3 linked regions of the Rattus norvegicus genome follow. The protein of the gene in region 1 binds, or shares a complex with, the protein of each later gene. Links are inferred from orthologs where the notes say so. Each region holds a gene or a part of one and is shown in the gene's direction. Other genes may lie near its edges. The genes, in order: Xpo1, Pkia and Xpo5.

Evidence for each region.
Region 2: the proteins of Xpo1 (region 1) and Pkia are in contact, whole or in part, in an NMR structure (PDB 2L1L), measured with the Homo sapiens proteins. The link is inferred for Rattus norvegicus from reciprocal best matches to the Homo sapiens genes XPO1 and PKIA. Residues at the interface, in NP_003391.1 of Homo sapiens: Val518, Lys522, Leu525, Cys528, Glu529, Lys534, Lys537, Ala538, Ala541, Ile544, Phe554, His558, Lys560, Phe561, Thr564, Lys568, Phe572, Glu575, Thr576, Val580; in NP_006814.1 of Homo sapiens: Asn36, Leu38, Ala39, Lys41, Leu42, Ala43, Gly44, Leu45, Asp46, Ile47, Asn48, Glu51.
Region 3: Xpo1 (region 1) and Xpo5 share a complex: the UniProt entries of both Homo sapiens proteins name them as parts of the nuclear export receptor complex. The link is inferred for Rattus norvegicus from reciprocal best matches to the Homo sapiens genes XPO1 and XPO5.

Annotation. Positions count from the first base shown.
Region 1 is NC_086032.1:101,472,362-101,474,896, forward strand, and holds part of Xpo1 (exportin-1), read left to right. Parts: intron 1-1,025; coding exon 1,026-1,160; intron 1,161-1,243; coding exon 1,244-1,403; intron 1,404-1,807; coding exon 1,808-1,904; intron 1,905-2,535. UniProt on the Homo sapiens protein: Mediates the nuclear export of cellular proteins (cargos) bearing a leucine-rich nuclear export signal (NES) and of RNAs.
Region 2 is NC_086020.1:96,311,366-96,315,022, reverse strand, and holds part of Pkia (cAMP-dependent protein kinase inhibitor alpha), read left to right. Parts: intron 1-1,591; coding exon of another isoform or gene 1,592-1,618; coding exon 1,619-1,769; intron 1,770-3,657. UniProt on the Homo sapiens protein: Extremely potent competitive inhibitor of cAMP-dependent protein kinase activity, this protein interacts with the catalytic subunit of the enzyme after the cAMP-induced dissociation of its regulatory chains.
Region 3 is NC_086027.1:22,241,243-22,244,899, reverse strand, and holds part of Xpo5 (exportin-5), read left to right. Parts: intron 1-860; coding exon 861-958; intron 959-2,286; coding exon 2,287-2,333; intron 2,334-2,745; coding exon 2,746-2,843; intron 2,844-3,391; coding exon 3,392-3,454; intron 3,455-3,657. UniProt on the Homo sapiens protein: Mediates the nuclear export of proteins bearing a double-stranded RNA binding domain (dsRBD) and double-stranded RNAs (cargos). XPO5 in the nucleus binds cooperatively to the RNA and to the GTPase Ran in its active GTP-bound form.

The DNA of each region.
Region 1 (2,535 bases):
GCGCAAGGCCCTGGGTTCGGTCCCCAGCTCCGAAAAAAAGAACCAAAAAAAAAAAGTAGTTTAAAATGTTTGGTTAAAATAACCCAAATATCAGGTTTGGTCATTCATGCCTTTAATCCTAATCCTGGAGAAGTTGAAGTGGCATAATGATAGGCTTCTAGCATAAGGCCAGCCTCATTTACAGGGCACCACTCTGAGTAAATAAACGGCCTGTCTTTGCTTAGTATCTGACTATGTGCTATGATGCCTTTGGCATACTTTGGAGTCTGTGAGCTCTGTTGCTAATTTAAAATGAATAGAGAGAAGCAAAAAAAAAAATGGGAATGGGGTGAGCTCAGCTGGACAAGGTGGCACCACATACCTTTAATATCAGCACTGGGGGGCACAGCTTGAATTTGAGGCCATCCTGGTCTTACATAATACCCAAGTTTTGGGACTGTCAGGGTTATACTCCAAAAAAAGAAAAAGGAAGGGAAAAAAGAAAATCCAGATTAAATTTGGAACCTGTCGTGGATTAAGAAGTTGCCACAGGGGGCTGGAGAGATGGCTCAGAGGTTAAGAACACTGTCTGCTCTTCCAGAGGTCCTGAGTTCAATTCCCAGCACCCCCATGTTGGCTCGTAACCATCTATAATCAGGTCTGATGCCCGCTTCTGGCCTGCAGGCATACATGCAGGTAGAAAGCTGTATGACGTATACATAATAAATGTTTTTTTTTTTTAAAAGGAAGTTTCCACAAGTGTACATTAGCATTAACTATCATGAGGCGCTCCATATTTAAGTATTTATAGAAGTTTTATATTATCCTCTACAAAGAACAGGCTTTAACCAGCTTTCTGTTGCTGTAAATTACAATATAACTGTGTGTAGCTTGAGATGCTCAGAAGTTAGAAGTAAGTCATTGCGATAGAGTTCCTATCTCAGCAGCTCACAAAGGAAACCCCAGTGCCAAGACCACCTCATGAGCCTGTCTTTTTTTTACACAAATCATAGTTTGTAATGATTTTGTTGTTGTTGTTGTTTTAGGCTTACAGATACTTTTTACACTTTTACAAAATGTTGCACAAGAAGAAGCTGCAGCGCAGAGTTTTTACCAAACGTACTTTTGTGACATTCTTCAGCATATCTTTTCTGTTGTGACAGACACCTCACATACTGCGGGTAAGAGCCGAACGTGACTAACCTCTCATTGCTCTGGTTGTTAGGGTCCGTCTTCGGATTAATCGGTTTGCTCTGTTCAACAGGTCTAACAATGCATGCATCAATTCTCGCATATATGTTTAATTTGGTTGAAGAAGGAAAGATAAGCACACCGCTAAATCCCGGAAGTCCAGTTAGCAACCAGATGTTTATTCAAGACTACGTGGCTAATCTCCTTAAGTCTGCGTTCCCTCACCTACAAGAGTAAATGATTACATTACTATTACCGTATGGGTGGGTTTAGGTGGAGGACCAAGGCAGCCATTCTGATGGAGATTGAGGCAGTTCTAGCTAACTGATAGGGGTGCAGGGGCTGGGATTTGGATTCTTGGGAAGAAAGTAAGAGCTTCTGCCTAATAAGACATCACTGCAGCACATTTTTTTTTTTCTTTTTTTCGAAGCTGGGGACCGAACCCTGCTCTGCCACTGAGCTAAATCCCCAACCCCACCAGGCTTTATTATTGCAAGCACCTTTGCAGGCTGAATATCTAGTTCTCTGTTATTGAAGTTTTTTTAATTTGGTAAATGTACTGGGGATAAGGAAATGGTTCTTAAATGGCACTTTAAATGTTTAGGTTTTAAAGATTAATTTTTGTTTTGATTTGCAGTGCTCAAGTAAAGCTCTTTGTGACAGGACTTTTCAGCTTAAATCAAGATATTCCTGCTTTCAAAGAACATCTAAGGGATTTCTTAGTTCAAATAAAGGTATTTAAGTTTTCTATTTCTTTGTTTTGACTTTTTTGAGACAAGGTTCCTGGCTGACTTAAATGTTGTTTGTGTCCATACATCTGCACTTGGATATGGTGGAGGTCTTCAGGAATGCTGCCTGTGTCCTTTTGAGAGCAGGACTCTAAAGCTCACTCATTTAGGACAGACTCATATTTAGGACAGACTACTCAGCAAGGTCCAGGAGTGCTTTCGTCTCTTTTAAGTCTGGCTTTTTCTTTTTTTTTTTTTTTTATTTTATATGTATGAGTCCTTCAGACACACAAGAAGGCATCAGATCTCATTACAGATGGTTGTGAGCCACCATGTGGGTGCTGGGGATTGAACTGAGAATTTCTGGAAGAGCGGTCAGTGCTCTTACCTACTCTATAGTCCATCTCTTACGTTTTTATAAGTGTGCACATAATTTAGATCATATTCTCGTGCATATAGCAGGCAAACATTCTACTGAGCTACATCCAACCCTTTTCTCCCCCTCACCACCTTATCTTCCCCACCCCCTTTTTTATATAGAATAGAGTTTATTTTGGATCAAAGGAAGGGTAGTTGAGAAGGGAAGGGGGTAGAGGCAAAGGAGGGGGAAAGAGAAGGGAAGAGGAAACACTTGGAG
Region 2 (3,657 bases), on another chromosome or scaffold:
TCCTGCTTTCCTTTGTTAAAGGTCTTACTTTTACATTTCATAGTCCTGGAGTGAAAAGTAGGACATCGTACACAGCAAATATATGTTCTAGCATAGGGCTATAACTCTAGCCCATTAGAATTTTGATTTTTTTAAAATAACTGTTATGTTGCTTTGTAATTATAATATAATTACACCATTTTCCCTCAGAGTTCTTCCCTCCAACTCCTCCCATAAGTCATCTAGTGCTCTCTCGCTTTCTCTCTCTCTCTCTCTCTCTCTCTCTCTCTCTCTCTCTCTGTCTGTCTCTCTCTCTCTCTGTCTCTCTCTCAATTCATGGCCTCTTTTCTTTAATTGTTACATATTTATACAAGAATGTATTAATACAACCTGCTCAGGCTGTACAGTGTTACCAATATGTATATTATCTTAGTGTTACCTATATGTATATTATCTTAGTGTTACCTATATGTATATTATCTTAGGACCAGACTTGATATTGGATAGCCAGTTTAAATAATCTTCCCTGGAAAAGACTATTTCTCCTACTCTTAGCACTCCCCATCTGCCAATAATTCTTTGTCTAGGGTTGAGGCCTATGAACTTTCCCCTTTCTATATTACCATATCCATTGGTGTCCTTGTTGTTCAGGTCCTGTTTAGGAATGTGCTGTGGTTTGAATAAGTACGGCTTCCTAGGTTCATATATTTGAATGCTTAATCACCAGTGAATGGAACAATTTGAAATTATTAGAGATTGGGAGATGTGACCTTGTTGGAGGAAGTGTGTCCCTGGCTTTGAGTTTTCACAAGCCAGCACCAAACTCAGTGTCTCTTCTCTCTAACTATAGGTCAGGATATAGATTTCTCAGCTGCTTCTCTAGTACCATGTCTACCAGCATGCCACCATGTTCCCCTCTCTGATAATAATGAAATAACCCCTCAAACTGTAAGCAAGCCTTAAATTAAATGTTTTTTTTATAAGAGTAACTTTAGCCATGGTGTCTCTTAACACCAATAAAACAGTGACTAAAACATGAAGCCATATTGATGAGACTTCATTGAAATATAACTTTTATGACATTTCTAGTAAACTTGTCTCACACCAAACTTTATGCTTCCTTGGCTTCTACAATCCAACTCCCAGTCTCGTCAGTAGTGATCCTTGAGCCTTAAGTTTAGGAATTGGGTTCTGTTTGAGTCAACTGAGACTGGGTACCAGAATGTCTTTGCATTTTGATTGCTTTTGTTTTTCTGTAATGGCATGCATTTGTTGCAAAAGGAAATTTCTACAATAAGTCATGAATTATATTTATCTGTGAGTGTAAGAGTAAACATTTAGAATGCAGTTAAGAATTATGCTGGTTTAGTAGAGCCGCAGTTAGAGAGGTGTTGGTTACTGTGGGGGTGTGTGTACGACTATCGCACCCTTAGGGTATTTCTGGCATGCTGGTCATTCATAATGGTTTGACAAACGTTTCAGACAAGAATCAAAACACTACTTCTAACAATTGTTTCCTGTTCATTTTTAAGCCATTCATTAATCTCACTGTGTTAAACATTCAGCATTGACTCTTATTGCACTCACCTGTTTACTTTTCTTTCTCTTGTAGTCCCTGCTATGTGGATATTTGTTAGCAATGACTGATGTGGAAACTACGTATGCAGATTTTATTGCCTCAGGAAGAACAGGTAGAAGAAATGCAATACATGATATCTTGGTTTCCTCTGCAAGTGGCAACAGCAATGAATTAGCCTTGAAATTAGCAGGTCTTGATATTAACAAGACAGGTGAGTCACCCAATGTACACCTTTCCAGGAACATGGAATGATTTGGCATTTTCCTACCCAAGATTAGGGCACAAAAACAAAAAACAAAAAAAAAAAAACAAACCAACAAACAAACAAACAAAACCAGCCACAACCAAAAATGCTTCCTTTGAAATTAAATGACACAGGTAAAAACAGTTCAGGCAAAATGAAAGTCTGGTTAGTTCCCCAATCCCACCATTTTTCAATGACTTCTCACTCAAAAATTAAAACCATAATCCAAAAAATTCAATATCTACAAAACTTTCAAATTACTTATGGAAAAACCTTAACCGAGTTAGGACTCCTACCACGGATAACACTGGCTACCTCCTCCATTTCATACATACTTACAAAGATTCACAATTGAGTCAGGAAGGCCTCAAAGAATCATTTCAAAAGAGGTACCCTAGAACCATTTTTATTGAGACTGATAATCAAAAAGTTTGTTATAAAATGGTTCTTTATTATAGTGGTTTTTAAATTTTTGAGATTGGGTGGTTTTGTGGGAAAAAAATGTGTTTGGTCACCTGGCATTACTAGTGAAAAAGAAGAATACCTTAATACATTAAAATATTTGATAGTGTCTATTTTGAGTATTAAAATAAGTTCTTTAGTAGTTCCTCCAGCCATAGCTTCTTCAAGTTTATTAAGAAGACTAGCACAAAATAATGATTAAATATAAAAAAGAATTCATAATCAAGGAACCACAGTGTTATATACATAAGATCTCACTATTTTCTGACTGTATTTGGGACATTCAGTATGGCTTTACTCTGAGAGTATATTGCAAAAGTCTTCAGATTGTTGAGAAATGAGTAAGGTTATGTATGTGATTTTTAAAAGACAGAATTTTTTTTCAATTACTAAAAGTCAGTAGTCATAGAAACCATTTTAATTTTAGATTAATGACAAATGTTGACCACATGGCTTTGGGCTGCACAGACCTGCATATTCTAGGGCTCGTTGTTTCTCCACCATTATTGTATACACTTAATTCTCAATGCCCTTTGAAGAAAGACTAGAGGACATTATTTCGTTTTACTGTCATGAAATGAGTAAATACATTTTTCTTGTGGTACAGAAATCTTGCTGATTTCTTTTAATAGATTTATATTTTAATCTTACATAAATATTCAATTTTAAGTGATTGCATGAATTTCAAGAAGTCTTAAAATTTGAGTCATAGAGTAGTTTCCTCTGTTTTGCCTGCTAGCTTTAAGACCTTTTTTATACAAGAGAAAATATTAGATTACCATAGGTAATTTCACTAATTCTGATATTTATATTCATAAATATAAAAAGTAAAATATTGCATTAAATACAATTTAATTATATAATTTGAAAAAAATCAAATACATTGCTGGTTATAGTGTATCTTGTTTTCTAAAGAACTCTGGATTCTATTTACAATGATCTAAGCCCGTGTAAATTTTTTAGTTTCTCTTCAAATCATGAAGTCTAGAACTAGGCAAACTGTTAACATCACTGACTTTATCATTCTCCATGCACAGAACAAATAATAATAATCAATATGAATATCTAAACTATAAAATGTGCATACCTAAAAGCAAACTTAATACACATATGTCTATTTTCTTACAATACATATTCAGCAACATCATTCTCTTTCATTAGTTTACAAACATCATTTAACCACATCTCTGTTTGCAATGTGATGTCAAATTCTAAGAAGAGTCCTCAAGCACCAGGAGGCTCCAATCCTCATGGGAGTTGGGTTTCTCATGTGGTATTTATACAATCACTTTCATCCTGCAGTATTCTACTGTCTGTCATCTGCCTAGATATGACTCCCTTCAGTTGGTTATCAAACATGGTTCCCATAATGGACTCCTTATTCTGTGCTTGA
Region 3 (3,657 bases), on another chromosome or scaffold:
GAGGCCAGAAAACTAGAGAGAGGAGTGAGAGGGAGGGAGACCTGACTGCAAGGAACTGGTGGGACAGTGGACTTCAGTGCCGCATGATCCCTTTCCAGACAGAAAGAGTAAGACGGGGAAAACAGGAAGGCAGCTCCAGTGAGGGTGGGGTATTTTACAAACCCTCAGAGGGTCTCTCTGGAGATAAATTATTGTCTTCCTACTTCTTAGAAATATAACAAGTTTATTTTCTTTTCTACAGTTTGTTCAGTGCTTCTTTTTAGTCGGTTTGGGTTTGCCAGGGACGGTATATATGTAGTTTAGGCTAGCCCTACACATGCTGCCCTCCTGCCTTAACCTCCTAAATGCTGGATTCTAGGCATGAACCACCTGGGTTTTGTATTTATTTATTTTAGAGTTCTCTCTTCGGCCTATGCCTCCTAAGTATTGGCTGCTACCACTCCAGGATTTATTTTGTTTTGGTTTTGAGTAACAATCTCAGTGTTCTCCAGGCTGACCTGGAAATCTTGGGCTCACCATCTTCCTTAGCCTCCTGGTAGCTGGAGCTACAGATGAAGGCTGGTACAAAAGAACACTCAAGACTTCGTGTTCATCCAGAGCCTTTTGTGTAGGATGTCTTTTAAGTCTCCTCAGCAGCGCGGGCCTGGGATGTACAGCTAAACAGAAAAGGCAGTTAGGCTGATGCACAAGACATTGAGTATTTGCAGTTTAGGATTCCAGGTCAAGCAGGAGTGGTTTTCCTGCCAACACAGGACATGGTTGGCACTCGAAAGCCCTAGTAGACTGCCCGGTAGTGCAGCTTGTTGGCTGGAGAAAGAATGGCCTGCTCATATGAGGAACTCCTTAACCTGCGGTAGCACGTGTCTTCGTGAAGCCCCTCGTGCTCTTCTGCCCCCCAGAACACTATGAGACCCTGATATCTCCCATCCTTGGACCGCTCTTCACCTACCTTCACATGGTAAGTGGGTCGGCGCAGTGGGCAAAGAGAACTGGGGAGACGGCTCAGGCTGTAAAGCGCCCATAAAGTGTAATGACATGAATGTAGATCTCCAGAAGACACATGAAAGCCAGGCGTGTTGCCACACATCTGTAACCACACAGCATCTGGAGCTCTTTGGCCCAACAGACTATGATAATTGATAAGCTCCAAGTTCGGGGAGATTCAAAACTATGATGAAGGCGGACAGAAACACTTCATCTCCAGCCTCAACACAGGTGTGCACATGGCCCGTACAGAGCACCAGATGCACACACACACAAGGGTGCATGGCTGCTCTGGAGTCTTACCCTAAGGGGCTCCTGAAGTGCTCCCCCAGCGCCAACATGCCGTCTGTGAGGTGTCTCCCCAGCAGATGATTGCTGCTGTGTGTAGAGCAGTCCCAGAGAGACAGGCAGCTTTGTTGCTACGGGGCAACAAACAGTCCTGCTTAAGTCCTCCAGTGAGGAGAGATGATCAAAGGACTGTTTCCTCTGCATCTGCTCATGGCTCTAGGATGAAGCAGTAGACAGCTTGACAGAGAACAGATGTTTCCAGAGAGAACCAGAACTTCTCAGTGTTAATCAGTTTCAGCAGATGGTTGACATTCTGTCCTTGTCAGTCAGCAGAGTAAGGCTATAGAAACCGTACCTCCTTTTCACTGCATTTGGTCTGCCTGGCTTGGGAGATGTTGTTACAGGAAGGTGACTGACATCCCTGAATCCCTTAGATTGGCAATAAATGCAAATATTGAATTCTTCAATACTTGTAACATAGAAGTTTGATATCTGTTCCAACAATTCAACTCTTTCCTGTCTTGACTAAATCAAAAGTTATTGCTAACATTAATTAAAGTTCCTGTTTTAGATTCCTTTTTTCATATTTGGGCCTTGGTACAATTTAGTTTATAATTTAGAAAAATGACTTTAGGTTGACATAATGAGTTTCTTTCTGGGTAATTAGTTGGGCCTATAGTTCACCTTAATGGCTGTGTGTTACCCCTTACATCTATAATCCCAGCACCAAGGAAGCTGGAACAGGAGGATCACTCACACGTTTAAGGCGAGCCTGGGATTTATAGTGAGTTCTTTTTTTTTTTTTTTTTTTTTTTTTTTGTTCTTTTTTTCGGAGCTGGGGACCGAACCCAGGGCCTTGCGCTTCCTAGGTAAGCGCTCTACCACTGAGCTAAATCCCCAGCCCCTTATATAGTGAGTTCTTGGACAGCCTAGACTACAGAGTAAGAAGAAAAATTAGTAGTAGGCCATGTTCTCCAGCCTCTGTCCATTCTAGCACTTGTCTTGTCTCTCCAGAGGCTTTCTCAGAAGTGGCATGTCATCAACCAGAGGAGTGTCCTGTGGTAAGGAGTACCCCTCCTTGGTGGGTGAGCCAGCAGCCAGCTTCCGGTGGGGAAAGGAAGAAGGGGCAGGCAGGTTCTGACTACCCTGTGGCTAGAATGGCAGTGGTTTATAACCACCTCCAGCCTAGATGGGAGGCAGTTTGTCTGGACAGGCTGTTACCAGTGAGTGGGCAGATACTGAACTCAAACCTTTCTGTGGTTTCCCCCTTACCTCTCCTGAGCCCTCCATTATTCCAACGAAGCCGTCTCAAAAGACAGTGTCCTGCTGTTGATCCCTGGTAACAGCTTCAGAACACAGACATGGGGAGAAACAGCATAGAACTGGCCTTAGGGAGGGCAGGTGCGGGTCACCACTTTTCTTATCCTCGGCGATTTTGCTCTTTCATGGAATGTGTCCCCTGGTTCTTGGCAGTGGAGAAGATGAGATTGCAGAGGACAACCCCGAATCTCAAGAAATGCTGGAGGAACAGCTGGTGAGGATGTTAACCCGAGAAGTCATGGACCTAATCAGTAAGTGACTTGTGGGGACCAGGGAAGCTGCTCACCCGGCCACCCCAAGGCTGAAGGATAACAAGGCCCCACACAGACAAAAGCTAATAGTCCAAGTCAGTCTCTGAATGAAGTGTTCACAACCAAATAAGAAAGGGATCCAAAATGAGAACTTGAACAACAAAGTTGGCAACAACTTTCTAGCTTGATAAAATAAGAAAAAGTTTAATTCTTGAACATGGATGTCAATTTCTATGTTCAGAAATGTTGACAGATTCAATACTAGTCATTTATTGTCAATCCAAAGTAGTTAGGGATATGTCAGTCACCTTCCCTAAGAGTAGTCTGTGATGTCCCCCTAGCTGACTGACTGGAGGAGGGACCCCCTGTCTGGTTGGGGTCCTCAGAATACCACCTTCTATCGGGGAAGCTGATTTTTATTCTGTGGACAGTATCTGCCCACCAGCCTTCATGTGGCCAGTGATGGCCTGAGATAGTTGGTGAGAGGAGGCTTTATGGAGTGGGTAGACGGGACCTTCTCCTAGCCTAGGAACTGTGCTCTCTCCTAGTGGCTTGTTGTGTGTCAAAGAAGACTGCCGAGCACACTGCCACTCCCACTGCGGATGGAGACGGTAAGTGAGCGGTGGCTCAGCCCTTAGAGAGAGACAGGACAGACCTACCATAGTCTCGTGCTGCCCTGCTTGCAGTTTCCTTCTACCATGACATGACCCTCTCCGCTCATCAGTCTCCGCTCTTATGTTATCTCCTCCCAAGCACCTGTGATTGCCTGCACTGTTTCCGTTTAATTCCTTGCCTGTCCCCCTCACTGTGGGCT